2 linked regions of the Pelodiscus sinensis genome follow. The protein of the gene in region 1 interacts with the protein of each later gene in a pairwise test. Links are inferred from orthologs where the notes say so. Each region holds a gene or a part of one and is shown on either strand. Other genes may lie near its edges.

The links. The genes of interacting proteins can lie anywhere in the genome.
Region 2: the proteins of RHOJ (region 1) and PAK2 interact in binary tests that used the Homo sapiens proteins (3 or more experiments, as listed by UniProt). The two-hybrid records come from large-scale screens. The link is inferred for Pelodiscus sinensis from reciprocal best matches to the Homo sapiens genes RHOJ and PAK2.

The regions. Positions count from the first base shown.
Region 1 is NC_134714.1:14,816,718-14,823,988, reverse strand, and holds the start of RHOJ (rho-related GTP-binding protein RhoJ), read right to left. Parts: upstream 3,046-7,271; 5' UTR 2,493-3,045; coding exon 2,315-2,492; intron 1-2,314.
Region 2 is NC_134720.1:621,732-629,462, reverse strand, and holds the start of PAK2 (serine/threonine-protein kinase PAK 2), read right to left. Parts: upstream 3,024-7,731; 5' UTR 2,868-3,023; intron 1-2,867. UniProt on the Homo sapiens protein: Serine/threonine protein kinase that plays a role in a variety of different signaling pathways including cytoskeleton regulation, cell motility, cell cycle progression, apoptosis or proliferation.

The DNA of each region.
Region 1 (7,271 bases):
CCCCTTGAAATTTGACAGAATTCCTTTCCTACACACACGTTGCCTGCCTCTATTTGCATCAATAATATGAATACCTTTCCCACATCTGCAGCCCACATGAACAAAGGCTAGAAAGTAGATAGGGCAAGTTAGCATAATTGTGATCAGATGCTTTTGATGGTTAACAGCATTTGCTCAGTGACAACTGTGTTATTAAGCAATTCCCAGTTCTGAGCTAGGCAGAACAGTATCCTGGAAGATAACAGTGATCCCAGTGCAAAAGTGATTCTTAGATCAGAATAGGTTCCCCTGACTCTCCTGCTCTTTTACTCCAAGAGAAAGAAGGAAATCAGTAAATAATCTGACGTTCCCAGTCAGGCTGTGACACTGACCCGGTGAGACGGGAGGAACACTGCTAACACAACACTGGTATTAATAAAGCTGGTCAAAACATTTTGGGAGAACGTGTTGAATTTGATGACATTTTTGACAGGAAGTCTAAATGAATCATTTCAACATTCGTGGTTGGATAATGTCAAAATGTTTTGTTCAAACATTATTGTTTTGATTCTGTTTTGAAGTATAGGTTATATTAGAATTTTAATGTTAAATTGTATCAAATGTATTGTATTATATTTAATTCTTTGATAGTGTCAAACTGCTGAACTATCAACCTCCATCCCCCCTTTTTTAATACTGTTGCATGGAACATTTCAACATTTTGCTTTTCATGCTGATTTGGAACAAAGACAGATTTCAAAATGCTGGAATTTCCCCTGGAATAGAAATTTTGTTTTCTGACTACCTCTAGTTTTTAATCACACCAATCAGGCAGAGTTTGTCCCACAATAGTACAATAATATCCAAAGACTCAAAACAATCTTTTTAGCTTTCTGGGCTTTCTCCTAAAAATCATTCTTCCTTATACTACTTGCTTTTAACGTTTCAAAATTTCAATAAAATAATTGGAGACAATCTCAGAAACCTAAGTCTTCAGTCCCTGCAAATACATTTGTAAAATTGTCATTTAAATGGGAATATATATATTGTTTCACACATTATCTTTATTAAATTTTTACTCCTATTTCTGTTTTGTGTAAACAGGTTTTTTTAAAATGGGAATTTAAAACAAATGGGTGAGATGGTAGAGAAAAGACATTGTTGTTAACATCTAGAGACAAAGCTACACACATTTATGGAGAAATAAGGGTTTCACATTACCTCATATCAAACTCAGCATTTACAGTTTTCTTTTTTGGCCATGTCTCTCTGCTAAACCTGACATGAAGCCAAGGTGAAAGCTGAGATTTTCCCATTACAGAATACCAAATCTATGATAAGCCATGCCATGAAAATCCAGTTTAGGAGAAACAGAAAACAAAAAGCAAACAAAATTGCTGCAAGATCAGTGATAAGTTTTGTATAACTTACAAAATCTGTTTTTTTAGGGATCTTATAAATAAAAAAATAGGATCAGTAGCGTAACATGATGAAGACAACCAATTTCTTGCATTAGGAAAACTAAAGCAACATTAAAGACTGTTTTCAGCCTGTTGCACAGTACACATGGTAAATTCTGAAGCACCTAAAAAAGTTGCAAGGAGTTGCTACAGCAGAAGTGGCCTGTGAATACTGTACCTAAACCGTGATCTTCTTAAGATATGTTTTTCATTTTGCCCTGTGATACAATCAAGATCAGTTATGATCTTTGCTATGTTCTGTGAATGATTGTTCTTTTTTTTTTTCATTAAGACAAGTGCATTCATCATTAAGCATTAAAACCAGTGCTGCTTTGCTCTACTATTAACTACTCTAATACTCTGATATTAACTACTATTAATCATAAATGCCAATACAACAAAGTGACCTTCATTCCGGCAGCACTAGGTGAGGTGTCACTGCTTTTCTCAAAGATTAGTTCATAGAGAGGATCTCAGTATTGCAACTTCTGAATCACTTGCCACACAAGGAAAAAGATGACTGACAAAATGCACGTTAGAGTCAGACAGACTGAAGTGGGCAGAGTTCAGCTCGTAACTTCAAAACAAGCCTGGCAAATAACTATAGAAACACTGAATTATAGCCACTGCCTTTAAAGCCAGGGGAGGTTACTTAAAGTTGTGTTTCTAATTCTGCATATTTGCCAAAAAAATAAAATGGGAAACAAATAACAAATCCTTCAGTGCCCTCCTTGAATGTGCTGCCCTCTACTCTGCCTGGCTGCCTTCCAAACCTGACTCATGTTCTCGGGCTAGTAGTCCCTTGACATCTCCTTTGCCCTCCGTCTCCCTTCCCTTTCCCTCTGAAGTTTTCTTTGTAAAAACCACTTCCTTACCTGCATAATGGTCAAATACGGTAGGCACATACTCCTCTGGGAAGGCATCATTAGCATAACTCATCAGCAAACAGGTTTTCCCCACTGCACCATCCCCAACCACCACGCACTTTAACATCTTCTTCACGTTATTGCTGCTGCATTCGGTGCTGGTGTCATCTTCCTCCTTACAGTTCATTCTTGCGGCACTGCTGCTGGTCCCAGGACTTCCAAGTGCACATGAAGGAAAAATGAAGTGCAATTGTATTCACTCTTCCTGAGTTTCGGAGGCTCTCCACCTCAGGAAATCATACTGTCTCCAGGCTGTTCCAGCTGCCTCTAACAATTACCGTATCAGTAAAGAGAAGCATTGAGGTAAATAAATGATACATCTATTAAAAATTCAAGAAAAGGATTGTCCTTTCTTGTGAGCTGGAGTCAGGAAATACTCATCCTGACAGAGAGACCTCTGTTTATTGCAACTTTAAAAATATCAGCAGTCAGAGGCGTTGATTCTCTTCTCCCCTTCTCCAGTTTGGCCAGAGGATTCCGGTATTCCTGCTAAATCCACTCCATTTTCCATTTCATTTCTAACATGGAGGAAAGCTGGAGGTTTTTAATGGAGTTTTTCCTTTCTTTCCTCAGCTTGCTGTGTGTCAGGAAATCATGGGTTTCCTGCTGAATTCCATATTAGGATCAGTGGGCTTGTGAAGGGCTGCAAACAATAGGAGCTCTGTGTGCGTTTGTACTTTAGAGGAACTATGCCAGGACATAGAGTAAGAAAAACACTAGAGGTCTCACTGCAGGCTAAAGTTGTTAGGCTTCCTGTTTCATCTAAAGCACTGTTCTCTGGGCTGGCTGAGATGAGGCTGGTGTTAGCTCATAGATACGTAGAGGATTTGAATGGGGAACATTGTGAAAAATAGGGATTCAGGTTTAAATGAATAAGCAGGGAATGTCAGGGGTTCGTTCTGTAAGGGAACCGGCCTGTAAAATGTGCAGTACTGTCCATCTTAGGGGTTTTGGCTGCCACACATTGCTGTAGCACCCTGGGATGTGCTTTTTCTTTTGAGGGTGTTGGTAGATGGGAGTAGAATGGAACCCAAATGCTCTCCTTTGTAAGTACCTCTTTAACAATTTGGGTACAGTAATAAATCAGGCTTATCAAGCCAGGAACGAAGACATTCTCCTCCCTGTCCCCTGCCCAACAAACAAATGAGACTTTTTCAGGTATAGATGTGTGAGCACGGCAGAGAAGAGAGCCGATGGAGAATTCAGAACGACAGCTGTTAAAAGGTGAAGGCTACAGGGCAAAGCTACAGAACAGTCTGTGTAAAACCAGTTAAAAGGCATTGCTTTTATTCCCTAAAGCCCGAGCCATCTGTGTTCCTGTGAGACACACAGTTCTGCTGTAGTATTTCATATAGTTCTGAGCCTCCTTTTTAGTTTTACTGTAAATCTGTACCAAAGATCTCACCGTGGGTACACACTTGGGGTACGTCTAGACTACAGGCTTTTGTTGACAGAACTTTTGTCAACAGATACTGTCAACAAAGCTTCTGTCGACAAAGAGTCTAGACTACATCCAGTTCTGTAGACAAAGCAAGCTGCTTTGTCGACATGGCAGTGTAGACGCAAAGGACAGTTTAGATGCAATAATGCCTTCTGTCAACAGAACTCTGTTGACAAAAGGCGTTATTCCTCGTAAAATGAGATTTACCAGTGTCGACAAAACTGCTGAGTTCTGTCAATGTTATGTCGACAGAACTCAGTGGTAGTGTAGATGCAGGTTTAGTTTTGTCGACAAAACCCTGTAGTCTAGACACACCCTTAGGGTCGAACCTTACTCTTTATTCCTGCAATCTCCAGCAGAGTCACCCGAACAGCCCCTTGCTCATATCAGCCGTTCTCTTCCCTGGGCATTCCAGTGCATGCTGCGTCCTTTGCCTTACTCAGATTCTAAAGCCTCCAAGTGGGGAAACAGAGAAATCTACCATGAGATAAGAAATGGCAAGGTGCGACGGATGCACTGCTTAGCTCCCAGCTGCCCAGAAACAACAGTCTGCAGTCCCATAGTGTTGGATGGGTTGGGCTCAGAGAGAGAGAGAGAGACCCTTCCCTCCCCAAGCAGTAAAGATCAACAGGGTCATCTTGGCCACATAACTGTAAGTCACACCGCACTGATGTAATGAAGCAGGTGTAGCAGAGACCCCCAGAGACACCACTCCTTAAAGGCCCAATCCAAAGCCTCTAAAAGTCAATGGGAGTCTTCCCTGAAGCAAGCCCTCGCTTCATTCCCACGGATCCTGCCATCTGTGCTAGCCAGCGCGCCAAGTGGGTCTCCACCGTTTGCCTTTAAACCCTCCTCTGGGTTTTGCTTATGAAGAACATTTGATCCATGGTGACCCCTGCTCCTCCTTTCGCTCCCTCGTAGGGAGGCTGAACTAAATACAAAGCATTGGGCCATCTGCCACCGAGCTGTGCTCATAATAACAGGGATTCTGGAGAGGCTCCTGAGCCTGCCTCTCCTTGCCCAGTGTCCTGGCAATTGTGAGAGTGGGGAATGGGCAGGACAAGACCCACAGTATCTGATTCCTCGTTTTACATGGGCAAAGTTATCCAGTTTCCTAGTGATTTCAGTGAAAGGTTTAAGCAGCTCTATTCCCATCCCCTGCTGCTGCCTCTTTCCTTCCTTTAAAGCAGAGCTAATCAACATGCGGCCCGCTTGTTTGTGGCCCATGGTGCCATTTGGGTTTACACGGAGCTCAACATGTGCCTGCGGGTGGAAGCGAAAACAAAAAAGTAGTCAATATAATGGTCTTCTGTTGATATGTGTTTTAGTAGTTAAATTCCTGGACTGTCATTGCTCATTAAAAGTGCTGACATCGGGTAAATATTGCATTTTATGAATATCAGCAGAACTGACTTAAATGGGGCCTGCGTGTCGTACAGTCTTGCCTTAATCTTTGATACATGCCCATTGATGTGAAATAAGCTATTTGCATATATAGTTGCATATATATGCAACCGCACTTAAGTTGCAGACTTGGGCATGTGCTGTGAGTATCATTGTGGCCCCTGGGGCTTCCAAAGTTGAGTAGCCCTGCTTTAAAGGGACCCTCAAAATTGGCCTTTTGTTGGTGGTTTGGGAAACATTTGGGAGGAATCTGTTTTAATTTAGACCTGCCAATAAAAGGAGCTAAACCCCTCTCTCTTTTGCCTTGGCGGCAGCTATTAAAGTGCAGTACTCACTTTTGGCCATGATCTTAAAGACCAGCTAATGACTCTCCTTGAAGAGGCCAACACGATGATTTATGAGATTAGCTTTAAAGTGAGCAAGGCTGACATCTTGCCCATAAATCTCTTTAATTCAGCACTGTAATTTTTCTTTACAAACATAAACAATGTGAATAGACTAGCTTAGCAGATTTGCCCCACAAAAAACCCCTATAAAGGTCTGTACCTGGACTAAAAGCATATGTTTTCTTTAACGTGGGTTGGCCCCCATTCACAAAGGCCAGATGAAAATGTGGTTTAGTTGCAACCAAGTTTAATAACAGTTATTGTACGTTTCTTTTGGCTGCATAGCTAGAGCCATAATTAACCCTTGTACTGCTCTGCGGATGAATCTTTTACATCTGTGGGGATGGCGCTTACTTTGCAGTATGGATTAATAGCCCGGTACTGCTCAACTTGAGCAAAGTTTGTGGCCGTACGAGTTGTTTTCTATAACAGGTTGCTGCCCCTCTGACGAGTCTCTTAGAATTCTGCTGCAGGGGAGGGTGAGCAGTTGAGCGGTTGCTCTCACATGTTGCTGAATGTCTTTCTTGCCTTCAGTGCTGGGTAATGGGTGTTTCTTCAGAACTTTCGATTTATTAATCGGCAGATTGGAATTGTCAGTGGTGTAGGTACACTGAAGCCTTCTGCTGCCTTTGAAAGCTCCCGAGGCTACCTCTGCACAGCAGAGCTGTGTGAGCATTCTGGTTTGGAAAATATGATGGTGTTAGTGATGGGCATGGCTTGAAAGAGCGAGAAGTTTAAGTTTGAATCCATAGGTTTCCTGCAATTCTCTAAGGGTACATCTAGATTACAAGCCTCTTTCGAAAGAGAGCATCTAGACAGCAACCAGTACTTTCACAAAAGAGAGCCGCTTTTTCGAAAGACAGCACCAAGGCAGTCTGGATGCTCTCTTTTGAAAAAGCACAGTTTGTGTTCAATAATGCCTTTTTTTGAAAGAGCACTTTTGAAAAAAGGCGTTATTCCTCGTAAAATGAGGTTTTCTGCAGTTGAAAAAACTGACTCTTCTTTCAATTTAATTTCAAAAAAAATGTGGCAGCAGTCTAGATTCAGGTGAAGTTTTTTTTAAAAAAAAAAAAAAGGCCACTTTTTTTTTTAAAAAAACCCTGTAGTCTAGACACACCTTAACCTTCTCTAATCTGGATATCAGGTTTGAATTTTTCAAGTTCTTTTCTATGAAATTCCAGGTGCTTCCTAATTTGCCAGTAATTCACTAATACTGGAAGGACAGCTTAGTTCCCTCAATATTGCTGTACCTCCACTTCCAGCCAAAGTCTTAAAGAGATGCAGAGTGTGAAAATTCAAAAGACCTAAAGAAAAAGTTAACCCACTTCCTCTGAACCTCCAGAAAGGCTTGGTGAGCATTTTGGGTGGAGACTGCAGTCTCCTCATCCACCAGTTTGCCCATCACTGGGTTTTCCAAGGGGCTAGCAAAGGGCCACAGCCTCAAGTGGGGAAGCTGAGCCAAGCCAATGGAGGCAGTTAGTGGGGGTGGAGGGAAGCTGTCACCTGAGGCAGCTAGCCAGCAGTTTATAGTCAAAGTAGCTGTGTTCCTGGTGGCGCACCTGCATTGGCTCACTGAGGAACAGAGGGGCTACAAGCAGTAGGCCTAATCCTCTGAGCTACTAAGTTCTTCCAACTCCCTCTTGTTCACCTGCATGGGCACTTCCATTTTCAGCTG
Region 2 (7,731 bases), on another chromosome or scaffold:
CATCATACTTTCATGAAAATGCATAATGCTAATATTAAACAGTTTCTTTTCATCGTACACTACAATGATACAAAAAACACCAACCCTAGACAGAAAAGCATCTTAAGAATCCTTAGTCCGACTAACGCATGCTCTAGTGACATTCAATTGTAATTTATGCATAATTCTTATTTATGGAATGGTAATATCTTCCAGACACCACTGGACAATTGCAGACTTTTATTTGTGAGTCACTTACAATATTTTCAAGAAACCACTACCTAGTTAACTCGAGAGATTCAAAGGAATATACTGAAAGCTTGTATTCTTTTAACCTTCTTACTGCTCCAACTAGTGTCTGTTTTCATAAAGAAAAAAAAAGCAGTGAAACCGATCACTGTAGTTAAGGTTTTGGAACGATCTCTTCAATGGAAAGCTTTACAATTGTCTCTATGAGGATTTGGATTTAGCCTGCTTGAACTGCCTACAATATTCTTAATTAAAGTTACATTTATATTGCCTTGTACAAGTCACAAATACTTGTAGCTCTTTGATTTTATACCTTGAGGAGTTATAATATAGCTTGGAAGGAGAGCGATCATCTGACTGGACGAAGTTAGTTTCAATCCTACAAACTATAAATCATCTTCCTGTTCAACCACTACTGCTTAAAACATATATGTCGTTTTACAAAATGGCACTGGTAAAACTGCTTTAGATTATTTTCAATCAGCGATGGGCAACCTAGGCTAGTGAGTGGGCCACATGATTGCCATATCCAAGACAGTCTCCTGGGATGGGGTAGTTTTGCTAACTACACTTGCCTACCTTAGAATTTGCTGGGAGTGCCCACTGGACAGTAACAGTACTTTGATTGGATGTAGAGAGAGCACATGGCTCTCGCAATCAATGCTGTGTGCAATTTCAGCTCATATGCACTTACTTTAGGTGCGTATCACTTTAGCAGTACTGGTAGGAAAAAACTACATGGACATGCCTGGGCAATGGTAAACAGAATCTCTCACAGGCCACACACAGACCCCAGAAGGACCACCTGCCGCCTTGCATACTGCCCACCAGTGCTTTAAATCCTTAACTATAAATTACTTAAATAGGACTTCCCAGCCCACCACATATGTCAGCGCTATTAAGTGGACAGAGGGGATCTAAGGCAAATAATTTTTAATAGCCTGACACCTCCATAATCTCACTCAATTGTTTCCACTTCCATGCCTCTGCTACCCTCCTCCTTTTCTCCCCACCTGTGCATTTTGATCAGACATGTCAGTATACAAAGTGATGCTTAGGTCCTAGCCCAAGACTCCAGCATTAGCATTTTCATTCACACCACTACTTGGCAAAACCCTTTGACATTGGTGTGGTTGAATGGTACATCCAAATATGCCATTTGGGTTTGGTTTGGTTTTTTAAAATAAGCCCTTTAAAACACTGCTGCTGTAACAGTTAGGATACTTATTCCAAAAACCATGATTTATCTTCACTGTGGCCACAGCAGAGGCATCAATTAACGATCTGTTAATCTGAAAGAAGAACATACTGGCTCTGGAAGCTCAGTCCAACTCTCAGACAATACTTGAGCACTGAAATTCCAACCAAAAAAAGAATTTGGGAAGAGTGAAAACATAAAAAAGGACAGGAGAGGGTAAGTACTGGACTAAAAGTAGTTCTGTCAATGGTATAAGTTAGAGACCCAGTTAGACACACACCCCCTCTCACATGTACATCCAAATTCCATCTTAGACATGTGGCTGGCATATCTTGCTCACATGCTCAGGGTCTAATCGATCAGATATAGGTAAGGAGGTCCCCCAAGATCAGATCTGCAGGGACTCTAAGATATTTTCCTCTTCCTCATTATGGGATACACATGGCCTGTTGGGATCATGTAGGCACTTCTCACACCTAGTCAGTTTCCTGCCACTGCAAGAACTTACACAGCACCCATCTCTCCTGTGTTGTGCCTGCAACACAATGGTTTAGTCCCCTAAGGACTAAATGCTTTATTTACCAAAAGTAACTGGTCTCACAAGTGGGGTATTTGGGTGAAATGTAATGGCCTGAAATGAGCAAGAGGTCGGACTAGATGATCTAATAGTCCCTTCTGGCCTTAAACACTTCAGAGTCTCTTGTGAGGAGGGCTGGGGGAGCAGATAGAAAAAACACATAATGAACAAAAGTAGAAAAATAAAGATGTCAGAAAACAGGAAAGCGACTTCAACAAACAAACAAACAAAACCAGACAGTGACAACTACACTGAGACAAAGCATAAACGAACCACAAAGGGGTACTGATCCACAAAGGAATTTTCCAACACACACACACACTAATGGAATGCTGCGATATTTGGGTTGCTTACACTACCAGGGAATGGTAGAGAAAAAGAAATCCAGTAAACCCACAGATTCACCAACAATATTTCTGTTACAAAATGTCAGTTTGGGCAAAACTTGACAACTCCATTAATTCTTTGTGTGCAATTACCCCAAGAGGTCAGGGCGCCAGGGAGGCCCCGATGCAGCGACACACCAGCCCGTGGCGCTCACCCTGCGGCTGAGAGCCCGAGAGCACAGGAGCAGGACACACACCGAGCCCGCTTGCCCTGCCCGCGGACAGCAGTGCGGCGCGCGGGGCAGGTGCGCCTTCCTCCGCGCGGCCCGGGCGCAGCCCCCCCGCCCCCCAGGGAAGAGCCGCCCGCCCGCCCGCGCGCTGCCTGCGGCTCCCGGAGCAGCCGGGGGGGGGGGGGGCTGCCCGCACCTGGCCCCGCGCCCCGGGGCGGGCGGAGGCGCCGCGGCCTGGGACCCGCCGGCAGGTGGGGGCCGCCCGGCGCGGGAGGAGCGATCGGCGGCCGCCTCAGCGCGGGACTCACCGGCGGGGGGACCCCGGCCGCGGCCCCTGGCTCGCGCGGCGCCTCCTGCGATGGCGGCAGCGGGACCCACCGAGGCGGCGGCAGCCGGAGGGGGAAGCGGAACCGCCGCGCGTGGCCACAGCCCGGGAGGAGGAGGGGAGGGGGCGGGGCCGCCCTCCGCGCATGTTCGCGCGGAGACTACCGCTCCCGTGATGCAGCGGGCGCGGGGCGGGGCAAAGGGGGAGGTGCCGGCGCGCGCGGGGCCCGCTGGGAAGCGGAGTCCTGGGCCCCTCACCCCTGGGGGGCCCCGCCCCCGGCTCCGTTCCCGCCTCCTCACCCGGAGCGGAGGGAGGGGCTGCCTCCCGGTTGCCATGGGAGACAGGGCCCAGCGGGAGCAGGCCGGCGGCGCTGGGTAGCCCCGCCCTCCAGGATCGCCATTTGGCCCTCGGGCGCAGACGTTTTTCGGAAAAAGACTTTTGCCCGGAGCAACACGGCATTTCCGCAAGGACACTGACACTCCTACAGGGACCGGCAGTGCTGGTGCGGAAATTCAAGCGGCCAGTGTAGACAGCTGGCAAGTTTTTCCAGAAAAGCAGATGATTTTGCGGAAAAACTGGCCAGTCTAGACCCAGCCCAGCAGCACATGAAGAGTCAGGGGTAGGAGCAAGGATACATTCAGAAGCAGGGATCCAGAGGGGGGACACCTAGCAAAGGCCCCTGGACAGTGCTGACAGTACCCGCTGCTCCTCCCTGGACATCTTCAGACACTGCCCAGAAAAACTCTGCCCCCACATAGGACGTAATGGAGGATGTGAAGTAGACCCCCCACCCCCAGTTGCGGAACACTCTCTTACCACCGGCTTTTGAAGTCATCCAATACTTCTTGCACAATATGCCGGTCCTCCTCCATATTGGAAATACCGCCCTCCTTTGTCATGTGCAAAACTCGTTAGTGTACTCTCACTTTTTGTGCCAAGGTCGGTAATGATAATGGAAACTAAGATTGGTCTCAAGACCAGTCATTGAAGAAATGCACTAGTAACCTCCCACCACCCTTACAGTTCACTGTTCAGCATGACCTGTTACAGTGTCCTCTTTAACTAGTTCCTCACCAAGCTTTTCATTCTCATATTAATCCCTGTCCTCTCCAATTTAATAATTTCCATTGTATAACTATATAATACCTTATTGAAATACAGTCAGAATAGATCCTCTCCACTTCCTTTGAAGAGAATCCATTATCTTCTCAAAGAAGATATACGATAGAGGTCTATAAAATCATGAGTGGTGGGGAGAAAGTGAATAAGGAAAAGTTATTTACTTGTTCTCATAATATAAGAACTAGGGGCCACCAAATGAAACTAATGGGCAGCAGGTTTAAAACTAATAAAAGGACGTTCTTCTTCACACAGTGCATAGTCAATCTGTGGAACTCCTCGCCTGAGGAGGTTGTGAAGGCTAGGGCTATAACAGGGTTTAAAAGAGAACTAGATAAATTAATGGAGGTTAAGTCCATAGCATGAGTAAGGAATGGTGTCCCTAGCCTCTGTCAGAGGGTGGAGATGGATGGCAGGAGAGAGAGCGCTTGATCATTACCTGTTGGGTTCACTCCCCCGGGACACCTGGCATTGGCCACTGTTGGCAGACAGGATACTGGGCTGGATGGACCTTTGGTCTGACCCAGTCTGGCCATTCTTACGTTATTATAATCTATCTTTCGTAAAATGATTATGTATTTTATTCTAATTGCTATTTATCTTTACGTCCTTACTTTCTCTTTCAACATTTGTTTTACAACTTTGCATACAAACCAAACCAAAAGGGCCTGTAATTTCTCTCATCACTTTTTTAACCTCTTACAGGGCAGTCTCGATTTTCTGACCTTCGCTTATCCAACATACCATTTTATCCAACGTGCCACCCGCCGACGTGACAAATTGACGAATAAGAACGCAGCATGTACAATAGCCAATCACAATCAGTGCATGCGCCCACACCACACAGGAGTGCAGTTGTGCTTTTGTTTGATGTTTATTTTTTCATTAGAATTAGTAATACATATTTATTCCCATGTTTTTTATTGGTACTCCATATTACCTAACATTTTCACTATCCAATCATCCTCCAGTCCTGTTTAGGTCAGATAATTGTATATTTAAAAGTACTGTATTTGCAATTCAGTAGTCATAGGCTATGACCCCTGAGTTTATGGATGTATTAAAAATCATTGTTTTGAGGTTTGCAATTTCATGTGCCAGTTTTTTTAATATTCTTGGATGGAGATTATCCCCATACCGCGTCCTGGTTTTGTCCCATAAAAATAAGTTTAACTTTCATCTCAGATGTGGTAATTTCAGCTTTCATATCTTTGTTCCTAGTGGCCATCCTGCGCTGTCCCCAAGATTCTAATTATTCTTTTTGTAAGATGAGGCAAAATATTCATTTAGGTGTTTGACCATGCCTAGATTATCTTTAAACTCCACACCAATTTGCGAGCTCATTTCTTCTTTCCTTGTTTTTTGTATCACTAAAGATTTTTTTGCCAGTGGGTTTACTTTTCTTTCATCTAGTCCGATTTCCTGCCCACTAAACTCAATAAGCAAAGTCAGGCCTGGGTATGACAGCCGACACGAGACTAAACTATATGCCATAAAAATAGAAAAGAAGAGATGAGGTGCACAAGGCCCAAGGGAAGGGAGACACACAAATGACCCTGGCAAACAATGTGCATCCATGCTGTAGAGGAACACACATGTTTAAAAAAAAATCACCAAGGCCACTGGCAATCTGACCTGGGGGGAAAGTCCATCAGAATCCCACATAGCATGATCAATTGGAACCTGGACATGTGAGCAAGAACCAATCAGACAAGCATCTGGGAAAGAGATTACTTGGTACCACCTCAGAGCACTGGCCCATTCTGTCCTGTGACCCATCTCCACCAGTGGTTTTTCTAATGCTTTAGAAGATTTAAAAAGAAAAACCACAGAATACTTATTGGGGGGGGGGGATCCCTCTGACACTAGCAAACCAGGTCAGATCAGGGCCAAGGGCTGGTTCACCTTTGTTAGTACAGATCAAAAGCAAGTGTTAGATGTAAGAGTGCATTCAGGCCAATTGACTTACTATTAAGATAGATCAAACTAATTTTAAGGACGTGAATGACTAAGCAAATGCTTATCAGATAGTCGACATGCTAGTCAACTAGTCACTTCCCCCACCCTGGCTGCTTCTATCAGAAGGAGGTAGCAAGTGGAGAGGAGGGGGAAGAGCAAGGGTTGCTTCAAAGCAACAGTGCTGTGTAGAGCCCAGAGCCAGACCCCGGGCTCCACACAGAGCTGCTGCTTTGAAACACCGCATGCAGCCTGGGCCAGCTGGGAACTCCCAGCTGGCCCTGGGCTGCATGTGGCATTTCAAAGCAGCTGTGACGCATGGAGCCCGGGGTCAGCTGAGGACCGCTGACCCTAGGCTCCATGCAGCACTGCCGCTTTGAAACACCACGGGGAGCACGGGACCAGCAGGAGTCTGCTTGAGTCGCCCACTGGTCCTGTGCTCATCCTGTGGCTGTTGCCACACTTCAAAGGTGGAGGTGCCCTTATCAACTAATTGAATCGTTGATGCAAACTGCATCGACTATTCAATTAGCCAATTAATTGAAATTTAATATCCCTAATTGCTGAATGTATGAGAGCATACGCAGATCTTTAAACTTCATGAAAACTAATGGGTCCTTACTTTTATTGTTCTTGTTTATCTATTCTTGTTATAATATAGCAAACATTTACATTTGTTTATAGCCCTGGAATTAAATTACCCATCAAAGAACTTTAGGAAATGCTAATGAAGTGTTTAAGGACTTTAACAGAAAATGCTTCTAAGTAAGTGATCCTTGTGTGTGATATTCAAAGTAAGGACTCTAAGTCCATTCCTTACTATCTGTAATCAAAGAAAAGCCGATAGTTAAGAGAGACTGTCAGCTTGTCTTCTGAAAGAAGATATAAACGTGGATTCGAAGAAAGAACATCTATCTCTGGACTATTTGGATTCTAACAGGGCACAATAACTGAATGTGAAGACAAAGATCCAGAAGGACTTTTGGGAAACGCAGTTCATTACATCATTGCCACCATTTGGAATTACAAACTGTGATTTACCTGTTATATTTACCTGCTCTCACAGCTCAGTAACTCAGTCTTTTTTTCTTAGTTAATAAACTTAGTTTACTGTATAACTGGCTGCCAACATCATTTTTGATAAAAGATCTGTAATACCAATTGATTCAGGTACAACCAATCACCTCTATACCCCCATCATACAATGCCAACAAATCTGTCAGGATCGATCTCAAAACTAAGTATGTTGTTTGCCCCCACTCACACCCAAACACTCTTCCTATTGGAAGGCTGTCCCAGATCCTCATACTGCTGATGGTTAGAAAGCATCTCATTCCCAGCTTGAATTTGTTCAAGACCAGTTTATACCCCTTTAATCTTGTACCAATATTGTTCTATACTTGTACTAACTCTCCCTGGTTTTCTTTCGCCTTGCTGCATTCAGAGATCACAACCAGGCTCTTAGTCTTCTTTTTGCTAAGCCTTTCCAGTCTCCTCTCATTAAATAGGGTATCCATTCCTCTGATCATCTTCCCCCTGACTGCATACTCTCAGCCATAAAGCTCAGGTAAAGCTTCTGAAGATTAACCTTTCCAGTCCCAAATTGCTGTAATCAAATGTCTACCTCTACCAGAAATTCAGTAATAGATGTCATTACAACTGATTAGAACAGATTATTTCTTTCAAATTAACTTGAAATAATTAAACATTAATGTAGATCATTAAAATACTCAGCAATTTATCCTACCCTGTTCTATATTTGCACTACAATG